Linked DNA regions of Lonchura striata. The protein of the gene in region 2 purifies or fractionates together with the protein of the main gene of each other region. This does not show direct contact. Links are inferred from orthologs where the notes say so. Each region holds a gene or a part of one and is shown on either strand. Other genes may lie near its edges.

Region 1 (6,750 bases), on a different chromosome or scaffold from region 2:
GCTTGTGAGAATATCAGTGAAGTGTTGTGAAAATTTCTTTATTTGACAGCTAAATCATCTTCCCTTCCCAGCATCCACCCTCAAGGGTCATGGAGGGGCAGTAAGGACAACATCCCACCACGGGAAGATGAGAACAGCTGGGCAAGGAAGCAGCAAAATCTCTTTACACCAGTGAGCCCTGGTGGCCAAACCCCTTCAGCAGGGGAACAGCATTGCTGTGGGCATGCAAGGAAGGAAACCTGGCAGAAAGAGGGAAAATGCCTGCTCCACAGATGGTAAAATAGAGGGAAGCAGGAAAACCAGCATGCCACAGATGACCCCATAGCAGGGGGCCCAGCTGTCCACTCTGACCCCTTTCTGGACCCTGAGCTGTCCCCCTGAGAGAACAGGGACCCCTGCACATCTCCATGCCCTGCCCAGCAGCGGGGAAGGAAGGAAGGGGTGGGATTGGGATCATGGATTCCCACTCCCGCCAAGCACTGGAGATGCTCAGCGCCTTGGAGAGCTGCTCTGGCTCTGCCTGTGGACACTGAGCACACTGGATATTTGGGGCTGAATTCTTGTCCCTTATTTCTTTCTCTCCAGCTTTCTCTCACCTGAATTTCCTCCCCACCTGCATCTCTGCTGCCTCAGCACCCTCCCATCCCACTGAGGCTTTGGGAATGGTCACATACAGAGCTGATCCTTGCCCTTGGCACTGCCACATTTTTGCCTGCCTGCAGGTTTTCCAGTCAGGGATATTCAGGAATCAAATGGATATGTTCTCCCCTGCTTCACAGGGATGCCTGGAGAGCCAAGGGATAACAGGTGGAAGAGCCTCCCTGTCCATCCCACACTCCCTGAGCAGGGCAGGCTGGGCAGGAAAGGCAGGCCCAAAGAAAAGGCTGCATCAAGCAGCAAAGTCTCAGCAAGCAAACAGATTCAAAAACAAGGAAATCAATCCACAGGTCCAGTTTAGTGTCAGTCGGTAGGTTGGAGTCCAGACCAGCTGCAGCTGACCCAGAAACCAGTCCTGACATAGCTGAGACTAGGACTGAGACCCCTGGGTTGAGCTTAAAAAGAGCTCCTGGGCCGTGGGCACAGGGGGTTGGAGTCCTAGATGGGGTTGGTGAGGAACATTCAGGTTTATTAATGTCCTCAGGGTCCTTACAACATCCCTCTTCTTATTATGCTGGAGCTCTGCAAAGGGATTTGTCTTATGAAAGGGATTTTTCCCTTTTCTTTTACCGTTGGGTTATTCAAAATGAGGATTATCTTGAGCTCTGTAATTTTCTGCTTATGGCAGGGATAAGAACTCAGCAGAGAGCTGGTGCCACCCTAGGGTGCTCCTAGGGTTCCTCTGGCATCTTGGCACAGCCCCTGCGCCCTGGGCTGTATCCTCAGGGGGCTGCTGCTGGGAAGCAGCAGCTCTGGACCCTGACTGGGATGAGGGCAGGGGATCCCTGCAGCTGTGGCATCCTGGAGGTGCCTGTGCACCCCTTTTGCCAGGGTTGCAATGTGCCCTGGCATCAGCCCGCTGCCGAGTGCAACGTGATGAGAGGCTGAGACCTGAGCTGCGCCGATGTGACGCAGAGATGGGCGATGGCACCGAGACTTTCCTTGTATCGGATGCTCCCACTTTCCGTCCTCTTCCCAACCAGGGCCACCTTGCATGAAAGAAAATATGGAGAGGGCAGGTGGAGGACAGGGGCTCAGGTTACTGCTCCTCTCCACCTGCTCTGATCTCCATTAGGAATATGTTTCTGGGGTTTTTTCCCCACTTTTCCAGGTCTGTCTGGGCTCTGTGCTGCATCCAGCAGCCCTCTCCATTCCTGTCACCACAAGCTCTCCTCTTGGCTGCTCTCCCAAACAGCTCTTCCAAGCTCACACCTCCTGTGGGGTTGGGACCAGGCAAGAGGGTCCCACAGGGATTTGGAAATCCTCTGGCATGGGGTTGGGATGGCACTGGAATGCTCAGAGAGAAACTGTAATGGGAAAGGGGAACCAGAAAACACTCTCTGGGTGTGGGTCCCACTGTAACCAGAGTGGCTGCTCAAGGAGGGCAGACAGACAATACTCAGCATGTAATTCTTTTACTCTTATTTTTTCATCACTCCTGCCTTCCCCATTTGCTTCTTCTCCATTTTAAAGGACTCCCCATCCTCTTTTCCAGCTTTTGTTTCCCTGATTCCCCACGGCTGGAGCTGTCTGTGCCTTTGTCCCCCCATCTCTGCTTTTCCTTTCCCACCCTACTGAGCTCATTTCAGCTATTCCTTGGCTTGGAGTAACCCATCCACACTGTTGTCCTCCAACAAATAAGCTGACAGGCTAATGAATAGCTTCAGATGGTAATTAGCAACGGAGTTGCTAATAATGAATTTCATTTACATTTTAAGCGCTGCAGAGGGAAAATAAGCCCCTGTCATTAATGCCCCCCTGCTCCCAGCACAGCCTTGGCCTTGGGGGGAATGCACCCTCTGGAAGCCTTTCTGTGATTGCACCTCTCCCGCCTCCATTTCGGAGGCTGCGATAAGCAGAGTTCATTAAGCAGCAATTAGAGATGGAGGGGGGGAGAAGCTGCTGCTGCTTCCATCATCTGATGGTGGGGAAGCGCCATGGTGCCATGGAAAATGGGCCACGGGAGGCAGGAGCTGGTTCTGGGCCAGGAAAGAAGGGCTGGGTGGTTCAGCCAGCACCAGGGATTCACGTGGCTTGCCCAGAGCCCTGGAGCTGTCAGCTCTCCACATCCATGTAACCCTCCCAGGCTCCCTGGATAATGACCCTGAGGGATTTCTCAGTCACTGAAATCCTTCCCGATTATTTCCCTAGGGGTTTAGCACATTTTGAAGGCAGGAATTTCCCTGAGGGGCTTAATCCATCCCTGCCTGCCCAAAGAAAGAGCCAAGTGCCTTCTGCATGGATTCCATGATTTGTTGGCAAATGGAAAGATGGAGAAATGTCATTGTTTTGTCTTGTAGGAGTGGGGAATCCATGGTGGGAGCACAGGGAACAGGTTTGCCCACTACTGCAGAGCATCAGAAGGGACTTGGGAATGCTCAAAGCCTGGATCTGGTGCTGGGGGTGAGCCTAGGAGTGTTGCTTGCCCTGCCTCAGTTTCCCTCTGTGCCCAAGGCGCCTCAGGGAGGGTTAGATGGATTGGGAAACAATGCTCCGCATCTACAGGGGTTTTCCAGCACACTGCTTGTGGATGGAGGGTCCCATCCCATCCCATCCCATCCCATCCCACAGACCCACCCAGACCCCAGTCCAGTGGTTGGATCAGGGGGTGTCCCAAATCCATCCCCATTTAGGCAGTGGTATACATAGAAAGCTGCTTTGGGGACCACAGGGATGAGGGATTCTCCCCAGATAGGATGTGACAGCCACATCCTGCCTTCACCTTTGCAGACATGGATCGATTTTATGATTTATTTATTTATTTATTTATGTTTTTTTTTTCAAGCCCTGCTAGAAGTGAAACCAATCCAGGGGCCTCCAGAGGCCGATAAGATTTGACTGCAAGTCAATACTCACATGTCTTTCCACTGTGCAATGATCCCCCGGCCAGCGGGGCGGGAGGGGACAGGCAGGTGACAGGGGCGGGCAGAAGGCCAGCCTGGGGCAGGGACATCGCCTCTGCTCTGGGAAGGGATTGGGGGCAGGAAGGGGACATCTCCTAGCCTGCAGCAGGGATTTTCTGGGATTTGTTGCCAGTATATATAATGGTGAGCCCGCAGTGGGCAGCTCCACATTGGGGATGAATGAGGGACAGGGACTGGGAGAGCTGCAGGGAGAGGGAGGGATGGGGAAGGAGGAGGAGCGGGAGAGAGGGAGAGAAATTGCCCATGAAAACCAGCTCTGCCATGGCATCTGCTCCTCGGAGCTTTGGGAATTGAGAGGTTTTCCTGCTGGCAAAGCCGGGGCTGAGGCAGCAGGGTGCTGGGGGGAGCAGAGCCCTGGCACACTCGATGCACGCTCGCCTGCGATGCCATCTGCCAGGCTTTCTCCTGGCTGCGGGTTCCTGTGGCTTCTCTCATGGCTAACAAGGGTCGAGCTCAGACTCCGAAGTACTTCCTGAAGTACCTGCTGCATCTTTGTGCCATCCCTGGACACAGCGTGGCTGGGATTCCGCATCCCTCTGGGAATGCTGCAGGGCAGGCAGGCAGGGTGACATTTGCAGTTAGCAGTGGGCGTCCTTGAGAGGAGCGAGCACCGAGAGAAGGGACCAGGTTCTCTTTAAGGGGGCAGGACTTTGGGAACATTATGAAGGCAAGAGTGAGCTTCTCCCTCTGCCTTCCACCCTCCCCTCCTTCCCTTCTCTGTTCCAGGACAGAGACCTGGGTTCCCTGCCCTCCCCTTTGCCTGGCAGGGATGAAGGCAGGAGCAGGGTGCTGGGATGGGCGGCTGAGCAGGGGAGGAGGAGGAGGAGGGGAGGAAGGGGAGGGAGAGGGGGAGGATCTGCTAATTACACAGAACAGCTCTGGGGGCTGCTGAAGTCCAGAATGAAGCAAAGAGCAGCAGAAGCGAGTGCTGCAGCGGGAGCGGAGGAGCCCAAGCATCACCAAGAGCTGGAGCTGGCTGTTATCCCTGCTGAGAGCAACTGGGAGCACCCAGAGGATCCTGCAGCCCTGCCTCCCACAGGAGACAGCCTCTGGCACTGCCACCGAGCCCACAGCCAGCCCCTGGAGAGCCGAGGAGAAAGGGCTGGTGGTTGCAGCACACAGGGCTGGGCTGGAGGGCAGCGAGGTCAGCCCTGCTATGGTTGCCGGGGGCTAGGAGCCTGTGTGGATCCACCGGGAAGAGGTGAAGGATGGCTGCCGAAGGAGGGAGAGCCAAGCCCGCTGCCCAGTCCAGGATGGAGAACTTCCGAAAGGTGAGGACCTCGGAGGAGGAGATGCCATTACCCTTCCCAGACCTGCCCCCGGACGTGGTGGAGATGAAAGTCAAGGAGGGCAGCAAGATCAGGAACCTGATGAACTTCGCCATGGCCCAGATGGAGCTGAAGGGCAGGCGGCAGATCGTGTTCAGCGGCTGCGGCAGGGCGGTCACCAAGACCATCACCTGCGTGGAGATCATGAAGCGCAAGCTGGGAGGGCTCCACCAGGTCACCAAGGTACGCTACAAAACTGTGCTGGAGGTCTGGGAGAACCAGGACCCACCGCCCGACGGCCCCGCACAGAACCTGACTGTCCACAAGAACGTCCCCTCCATCTGCATCCTGCTCTCCCGGGACCCCCTGGATCCCAACCAGATGGGGTACCAGCCCCCCGAGCCCCGGCATGAGGCGGGAGAAGACACACTGGGGTCCTCCACCAAGGGGCTGAAGCGGACGCTGCCACCTCCCTGCGAGGAGCTGCTGCCCAAGAAGCTGCAGGTACAGGTGCCTGACAGCCCCAGGGGCACGGGGACCACTGCTGGCCAGCAGGACCACTGACCCCAGTGCCTCCCACCCTACCAGCCAGGTATCGAGGCAGGAATATCCACTCATTCCAAGGTCACTGGTGGGCTGCAGACTCCCCCTGACCTGTCCCCACTTGCTGCTTTGACCCCTGTGGATGGGGGTCCCCAGATTTGGCGTGAGTGTTAAACGGTTAAACCCTCCATGGATTGAAGCAGGTGAGGCTGTGGGGGGGAGCTGGTGACCTCTAATTCAGCCAACCAGGGACACTGTGACCACCAGCCACCTCCTGCAGCAACTCCCAGGGAGCCAGAGCAGCCGAGGGGTGCCTGGACCACCACACCGCTCCCCACTGCAAACACCTCATCCATCAGGAGAGATGGGTTTGCTCCAAGCTTGTTGGAATAAAACCTTCATTATCAAACCTGCCGCTGAGGAGCTGTTGGAGTTACTAATGACAGGCTCAGCATCCTGTGAGACTGTGATTCATCCCAAAAAAATCACCCAAACAAGCACAGGGGTTGTTCTCTCCCTGCACCCACAGAGCCAAGCACTGTACTGTGCTGCCTGCCTGTGGGACAGCAAAAGGAAATAAAACAACCCACACTGGATACTCTGGTCTGGAGCTCGGGGAAGCCACGGTGTGGGAAGCTGGGGGCAATGGAAGCATTGGGCAGGGGATTATTGTGACTGGATGCAGTGCCCAGCACAGGATGAGGAGGTTTTGGGGTTGTGCCTTGGCTGCAGAGTGCTTCAGAGCAAAATCCCTGCTACTTCCAGGGGGTAAAGAGAAATGAATGGAAAATAAAAGCTCTTTAGAAATAGATATGTCTATGGGAAAAAGGGGGGATCATCGTGGCTGCTGGCCATGGCACGGATCAGCACAGTGAAGGCTGCTGCCAGCCCTCAACAAGGGGATCCCAGCCAGACTCTGTCCCTTGGAAGAACGGGACTGGGGTCTCCTGTGCCGGCACAGCAGCACCTGGCAAAGCCCCAGTTCCAGGGGGGACGGAGGAGATGTGGGGGATGTGTTATGGGATGCCAAGCCTTGATCCACCTGGTTCCCTCTGCCCAGCGCCTAGCAGCACTGCGGGATGAATTAATCGGTATTAAGGAGCAAACCCTTCCCAAAATCCACGTGAGGGATTCTCTGGCTGCAGCTGCCTTATCTCCCTGCCTCACTCCTGCTCTACAGGGACAGTCAGCGTTCTCTCTTTGTCAAGGGCTTGCTTGGCTGGGAGTGGGAATGAAAGGAGAGGAGGAGGAAGAGGAGGAAGCAGGGTCTGTTTTGTGAGGCAGTGACCTTGTTATCTCCCTCAGCAGGCAGATGCTCCTCGGGCCAGACGCTTGTGCTTATCTGTCCTACTGCAGAT
Region 2 (7,620 bases):
ATCATATGTGATCCCAGCATGCAGGGAAAGCAAATGTCAGCTGCCAAAGCCTCAGCTTTCCTGACTGCTCGTTACTGTTTTGGGAAGCAAGTGTTGCTATTTTAGCACTGGTCTGCGCACCAAGGTATGTAGTTTGCAGGAGTTATCTTCAGGTATTCTAGGGTTGCCCATATTTTAAATATTTTAAGATGGATATATTTTTTTATATTGATACAAGAATTTATTGGTGTTTAAAAAGTTATCTCCTTATTCTGTGGTGAAATTGAATTCCTTCACAATCCTCTTTGTGAATTCCTCTCGTGAATTCCTTCACAATCCTCTTTTCACTGACACTGTGATGCAGAAGAGGCTGGTAGGTGGAGGAACTGGAGTTCTGTATGATAAACCAAGCTGCAAATGGGCACTTTTCTTCCATAAGAGGACACTATTTGTAAAGTTTTATAATTTACTTTTTACCCTACGACAGTGAACTGTATTCCAAATGCACTGTACAGTCTCGGGCTGCCCTCTAGTGTGAGCAGCTGTGGAGACAGGGCACAGCCTGCCAAAAACCTGCCTCCTTTCACTTTGTTTTTTTAAAACCCAGCTATTAAACCATTGGGATTTTCTGAAAACATTTTTAGATTATTATTTGGTTTTGATTTCTGTGCCACTGAGATCTATTTGGATTGTACTTCCCCGTGCTTTCTTGTTTCTGTCAGGCACACACAAGCCAGTCTTGTCTGTGCCCTGGAGCAGCAGCTGCAATTCAAGATGAGGAGCCAGGACTGCAAGGAAATAATGACTCTTCAGCTGGGAAGGACGGTTTATCAGCTTGGGGCGGGGGCAGAACACGATGACAAGCTTTGAGTTAAGGGCGAGCTGATAAAGCAGAAAAATTAATGGAAAAATATATGGAAAAGACACATTTGAGGGATACATGGTACTTCAAAAGATGCTGCTCATCAGTCAAACACAGCAATCTAAAATCAGTCAACCGAGGACCTAATGCAAGAGTTTGGGCTTACACACATAAATATTGCAAACCTGCCTCTGGCATACATACCTACACTGACACGAGATGAAGGTTCAGGCTATGCCCACCCACCACCCCCAGACATGACCCTTTGCTGGATGGGTTTTTCCAGGGATCACCAAGGACTGACTCCCTGGGAGGGTCCTGGCTGCACAGCCAGTGCTGGGAGGGAAGAGCTGTGTTGGGAATGGTCAGCCACTGGCCCTAAAAGTGCTGGCACTGAGCTCCCCCAGGCCCAAAGGAGATGTCAGGAGCAGGATGCCAAGTCTGGGTGCCGGCAGGAGCTGTGGGATGGTGGCAGGGCTGGCATGGACTGGATGGATGCTGCTTCAGCACACTCATGGGAAGGGGGTGGGAATTGTATTACCTGGATAGAGGAAATCAGATCAGAGGGCTTTAAATAGAAATTATTTTCACCAGTACAGATGTCCCTAGGGACTAAATTCAGCTGCTAATACAATTTGGCCAAGAGGAATAAACTATATTGATCTTGAGAGCTCAAATGCTTGCTGAGACAGTCCTTCTAGAGAATTACAGTATTTATTTCCTGCATCACTGTCAGCAAAAGTATAGCAGTGATTACGGCGCAGTGACTTTTTGCACACACCAGTTAACTTCACGCTCATCTCTCGCCTCAGTGCATAATTACTCTTTTTTATTTTTTTAATCCCTGATCTGCTATTCTTGTGTAACACAAACATCTTTAATTATACTGTCTTTGGTCACTTCACATCTCAGGTTTTAGCTTTCTGTGACTGTCACAATAAAGATCATTGTGTAATTGCTCCAGAGCCACCCAGCTCTCCCAGGACCCTGCTGCTCCCCAGCCTGTCCTGCACATGGGTCCTTGCCCATCCCAGCAGTTCAGCAGCCCCAAGAGGCACAGCAATATCCTCCCCTAGGGCACACTGCTAGACTGTGTCCATGAAGGGGGTTTGCATAAGTGTGAGTGGGATGTTATTATTTTTGGAGAGCAATAAATAAAGCCATGTAGATTAAATTGGATAAGAAACACCAATGTTGGCACCTATAACATGGTATTAATTATATATATCATGGAACTTTATCACTACAAACCTATTCCAAGGGGATTTGCTTTATGTCAAAAGCTTCAAAATTCTAAGATACTAAGATAGGGTGCTGCACATCCCAAAATAATCATTACAGTTTTTTGCTGGCATATTTCCATATCACTTTACATTCACATCTTACCCATATTTCCTCATTTCTCTGAACCTTCTTTTTCTTATCTGCAAACTGCCTTTGCCTATTCTGTGGTTTCTCAGTTTCTTCACCTATTCTTTGTCATGTTTATTTGATGTGAGCCTCGACTCCTGACAGAGAGCCTTCTTGCCAGGACACACAGTAACGCGCTGAGCTCGCTCCCTCAGACATTATAGCTGAAGATAAATTGGGAAATGAAGATGTAGAGCTGTTGGAAGAAACTGGTTTCCCCAGGCGCCAGTTTAGCCTGGATCATTGGATTTACAACACCAGCACCGACAACACTGATTTGACTATTAATCCCTGAAGTGCCCTAAGAATTGCAGCATAAATCCAGTGAAGGAGCACTCATATGGCCCTAAAGACCCATAGCACTTATCCTGGTACTCCATTCATGAAAATTGATCTTCTCATAGTAGCAATGACAACTCAAGGAGTCCCCGCTTTGTAAAACCAAGAGATCCACTTGCTGTGGTTACATACTTTACTGCCTGGAGGTCTGTGATAAAAACCAGCTGCTGTTCATGTTTATACTCTGCAGACACTGGCCCCTTCTCCTTTACACACAACCAGAGAGATCTACTGTTTCATTCCCTGTTAGGGATCACTTTAGTACCTTTGTGCCCCACAGCAGCACTCCACAAAACCATCATGCTTCCTATACCCTGCCCCTGTAACTCCCTCCCCAAATATCCTTTACCAAGCAGTGCTTAATTATCTGCTAAGCAAATATCACCATGTGAAAAGAATATAAATATTTTCTGTATCTTTGCTTATGCCTGAACAGAGAACTGCAGGGGTTGGGACTGGGCTGGCAGGAAAAAGAATTGACCATGCTGGTTTCAAGACACTTCTGTTTTGTAAGTGAGCAGGACTTTGTCCTGTCCCAGAAGGAAAGAGGCCCTGATGTGTCAGAGCATGTAAATCTCACAGCAAGTGGCATCTTCCTGTGTCCTGACCTTGATTGCTAGAAGCAGGAGATTGGTTTTAACTTGATTTTAACCCAAGATCTCATGTTGCCAGGTGTGCAGTTCCAGGACAGCTCTGACACACTGTTAACAACTGAGAGCAGAGCCAGGCACTCCCTGCAGCGACAGCCAGGGCTGTGGCTGGAGAGGCCGTGTAGGACAGGGTGGGACTAGGAAAGAACTTCTCTCCTGTTGTAAATGCAGGCAAACCCAATGGGAAGAAATGACAATGTCTGACTCAGTTCAGAAGGCTGAATGACTTCTTTATTATAACTATGCTAAAATACATGAATATACTATAAAAAGGAAGATACTACAACTACATACCTACTTTTCTAACTACCATATCTAACTAAGTCACAACTGGTGACCCTCTCTCGAGAGTCCAGCCACAGGTGTGTTGGGTTGGCCATCAGGCTCAAACAATCCTCACCAGAATCCAATCAAGCAATCACCCCATGTAAACAATCCTCCAAACACATTCCTCATGACAAAAACAAGGAGCAGAAATAGAAATTGCTTTCTCTTTTTTTTCCCTGTGCACCTCTATGAAAATTCCTGAGAGAGAGGAATGTGCCAGTGACACTGTCCTGCCAGGAGAGGCGGCAGCGGCGGAACCTCAGCAGGGGCAGCGGCGCAGCGCCGCCACGGCCCGGAGCCGGGGCGGCGGCCGGCTCCAGCGCCACTCCGGGAAATCGGGAAGGGCGGATCTCCTGAACAAAGAGGCAACAGAAGAGGGAGGCGAGGAGGAGAGGTGGCACTGGGAATCCCAGCGGCTGCGGGCTGAGGGGGCAGTGAGGGCGGGCTGCCGACTCTGCCGTTCTGGGGGAGGACGCTGCCATGGCCGTGCTGCCGCAGCGCTCAGCGCCTGTCCGCCACCGCGCCCCACGGGGATTGACAGCGCTTTTAAAAACCTCCCCCGTCACAGGAAACGGAATGGCTGCTGTTCAGTGCCTCCCAGGTCAGAATTTATCAGCGCAAGAGCAGGAAATAGCAGGAAAAAGCCAACTGCTACGGCAGCCGCCCTCACGGCGGGCGGCAACGCCGCCTTGCGGCCAGGTCGGGAAGCGCCGCTGTGCGCACGCGTGTGCGACTCGTCATCGGCCGGCGCCGGCTGCGGCAGGACGCCATGGAGGGTGAGGGGAGAGAGGGGAGAGAGGGGAGAGAGGGGAGAGAGGGGAGAGAGGGGAGAGAGGGGAGAGAGGGGAGAGAGGGGAGAGAGGGGAGAGAGGGGAGAGAGGGGAGAGAGGGCGAGGGATGGAGGGAGCGATGAGCGGGGAGAAGGGAGGGAGGGCGAGGGATGGAGGGAGCGATGGTGGGGGAGAAGGGAGAGAGAGGGCGAGGGATGGAGGGAGCAGTGCGGGGCGAGGGATGGAGGGCGAGAGATGAGGTCTCGGAGAGCGGTGGAGGGGAGGGATGGAGAGTGAAGGATGAAGAATGAAGGGATGAGGGGAAAGCGGTGGAGGGTGAGGGGACGAGGGGAGAGTGATGGAGGGTGAGGGGATGGAGGGCGGTGCAGTGAGGCCTGGAGGGCGGGCGGTTCGAAGCGAGGGATGGAGGGCGGGCGGTGCAAAGGGAGGGACGGGGGCGGGCATTGCGAGGCGAGGGATGGGGCGGGCGCGGGGGGCGGTGGAGGATGAGGGGCGCAGGGAGGGCGGTGGAGGATGAGGGGCGCAGGGAGGGCGGTGGAGGATGAGGGGCGCAGGGAGGGCGGTGGAGGATGAGGGGCGCAGGGGGCGGTGGGGCCAGGGGCGGGCTGAGCCCCGCCGCGCTGACCCGCCCCGCCGTGCCCGGCAGGGCAGCTGTACCGCCGGCTGCCGCCCGAGGAGAGCGGGGAGCCGCGCCTGCAGGTACGGACCCGCAGCCCCGCCGCGGCACCTGGCCAGTCCGCTCCTACGCGGCCTCTCAAACCCCGCCGGGCTCCCGCGGGCGGGGGTGGGTTCGGGCCCCGGTTTCCCCTGTATATCCCGCTTGGAACTCGCTGTTTCAAACGAAATGCGAAACGAGGGCTTTTCCTCCAAAACGTGAGTCCGCCGGCCTTCGGCATCTCCCTCCACCGGCACTGAGGGGAAAATCTCCCATTCCCACGGAGATTTTGCCGACTGGATGAAACCACCGGTCAGCAACAAGTTCTAACTTAATTAACACCTAAAATTTTAAAGCATCCTTTCAACTGTCTTTAGCCCCAGGGCTCAGAAGAAGCCAAGACATTTGTACATGCCTTCCTGAGGCGCAGCATGCCCAAAATGAAAGATGAAGCTATCCAGGATATGCTAAATCGGAAAGCTGTCATTCTGGAGCATTATCCCAAAAAAAAGACCAAGCAAAAGAGGAAGAAGACAAAAGGTTTTACTGCCAAGCAGAGGCGAGAGCTGCGTCTGTTTGAAATTGAACCTGAGCAGCAAAGGTAGGGCTTTAAATATAACTTTGTGTAGTAAAGTGGAACTACATCAAAAGTGTGTAAAAGCAGTAGCAAGTGCATGTGGATAGGAGCCCTGCAGTGTGCAAAGTCAGTCTGAAACACTGCTTGTGGCATTTCAGCATGAGAAAAGAATTCTCTTGTCTGCACAGGTGAAAGATTAATTTCTGTTGAGCTCATTTTGTGTACCTAAATATGACAAGAAATCAAACCCAGTCACAATCCCCTCTGGTTCCAGTTTGTAAAGTTGGACTGTCTGTGACCACAGAGTCAAAGTTCTGCATAAGGTTCTTTGAATTTATTGTGCTGAATGAAGCCCCTACTTTGCTAACAAATTAAGCAGGGAGGTAAAAGAATAGGCAAAAAAGGAGAAATTTCTTCAGTCTTAGCCTGATGCTCTGAAACACATCACTGTTTTAGGTTGGTAGAAAAGAACATGCTTTGTGCTTGTTTTATAAAGTAAACCAGCTGTTTGGAGTGGGTCACATTGCAGGGTAACTTAAGCTTATGTAACTTAAAAATGTCAGACTTAACTCTGTGGAAGTACAGACTACTTCAGCCAATGGACTTTTTTACAACTAAATTTTGTTTAATACTTTTCATTTATCTTTTTTTACTGCAGATATGCCATTTTCCTCCCACTCCACGAGCTTTGGAAACAGTATATCAGAGACCTGTGCCATGGACTCAAACCTGATGCGTATGTTGACATATTTTAAATTTAGTCTGGGTTTTATACAGTAGATACTTCCAATTTTATTGAGTTACTACTTGAAACACTGTGGCTCACTGATAAGCATATTGGTACTATTTTACAGAATCACAGAATTATCATGATTATAATAGTTATGGTGACATTTTGTAAATCTGACAGTTCATTTGATTTTTTTCCCTCCTCTCTGATCCCGTTCTCTTCTTCAAGGCAACCCCATATGATTCAGAGCAAGCTGCTCAAAGCTGATCTCCATGGAGCCATTGTTACAGGTATTTTGTTTGTTTGCTTGTAGAACATCATCTAAAGTTCAGTATTTGATTCTGTAGTTCAGGTGCTTATTTTTATATTCCTTTCAGCTTCGTTAGCTCTAAAATCATGTAGTTGAGATCTTATTTCTCTCCTTAAAAATGCTAATTACTTTACAACTACTCTTGAAAATCATGTTGGTTGCAAAGGTTAACTGCACATTTTACCAGTGATTACTGTAACTACATTAGTTCAGAATATTTAAATGTTTATGTTTGAAAATGTATAAAATCATGAAGCAACAGGAGAAGAGCAGATAAATTTTCTAATACATATTGTTGTTCTTTCAGTTACAAAATCAAAGTGCCCCTCTTATGTTGGGATAACAGGAATCATTCTACAGGAATTTAAACACATCTTCAAAATTATCACTAAAGAGGATAAGTTAAAAGGTATACAAGGCATTCTTTTTCAGTTCTTTTCATGACATGAATCATAAAAAAATTCTTGAGCACACTCTTCATTTTGTGCTGCTGCGTACATTGTTTTATATCAGTGCTTTTGGCTCTTTGCACAGAGTGGCAGAGGTTACCACCCTACACATCACAAATGAGCAGTTTTAGAAGATGTAACACTGAACTGTATGCTCCTGCAGGAGAATTAACTTTGGTTATTCCAGTTAAATGTGGAGGCTTGGGTTATTTTTCTTCTCTTGATAAAGTATAAAATCCTTGAAATGTGTCAAGGCTCAAATCTCCGGGTGAATAACATCCCCTGGTATGTCAGGATATTTCCACAACAGGGACTTAAATCAGCACACTTTGCTCAGTTTATGTCCTTTTGCATTTCAGTTGTTCCCAAACTTAACAACGTGTTTAGCTTGGAGCTTGATGGATTCATTTCCTACATCTATGGCAGCAAGTTCCTGCTCAGAGCAAGTGAGCGATCGGCAAAGAAATTCAAGTTGAAAGGAACCATTGACCTGTGATTTCATGGAAACTCAGAAGCATTCACAGAAACGTGTTTTCCTGCA

Evidence for each region.
Region 1: the proteins of POP4 (region 2) and RPP25 purify together in Homo sapiens (affinity purification with mass spectrometry; 3 studies listed by BioGRID and IntAct, counting the BioPlex papers as one, with this or other methods). This does not show direct contact. The link is inferred for Lonchura striata from reciprocal best matches to the Homo sapiens genes POP4 and RPP25.

Annotation. Positions count from the first base shown.
Region 1 is NC_134613.1:5,876,235-5,882,984, forward strand, and holds RPP25 (ribonuclease P protein subunit p25), read left to right. Parts: upstream 1-4,299; 5' UTR 4,300-4,789; coding exon 4,790-5,413; 3' UTR 5,414-6,201; downstream 6,202-6,750. UniProt on the Homo sapiens protein: Component of ribonuclease P, a ribonucleoprotein complex that generates mature tRNA molecules by cleaving their 5'-ends. Also a component of the MRP ribonuclease complex, which cleaves pre-rRNA sequences.
Region 2 is NC_134615.1:9,385,875-9,393,494, reverse strand, and holds the start of POP4 (ribonuclease P protein subunit p29), read left to right. Parts: upstream 1-4,249; 5' UTR 4,250-4,336; coding exon 4,337-4,343; intron 4,344-5,004; coding exon 5,005-5,057; intron 5,058-5,390; coding exon 5,391-5,614; intron 5,615-6,248; coding exon 6,249-6,326; intron 6,327-6,548; coding exon 6,549-6,610; intron 6,611-6,937; coding exon 6,938-7,039; intron 7,040-7,438; coding exon 7,439-7,575; 3' UTR 7,576-7,620. UniProt on the Homo sapiens protein: Component of ribonuclease P, a ribonucleoprotein complex that generates mature tRNA molecules by cleaving their 5'-ends.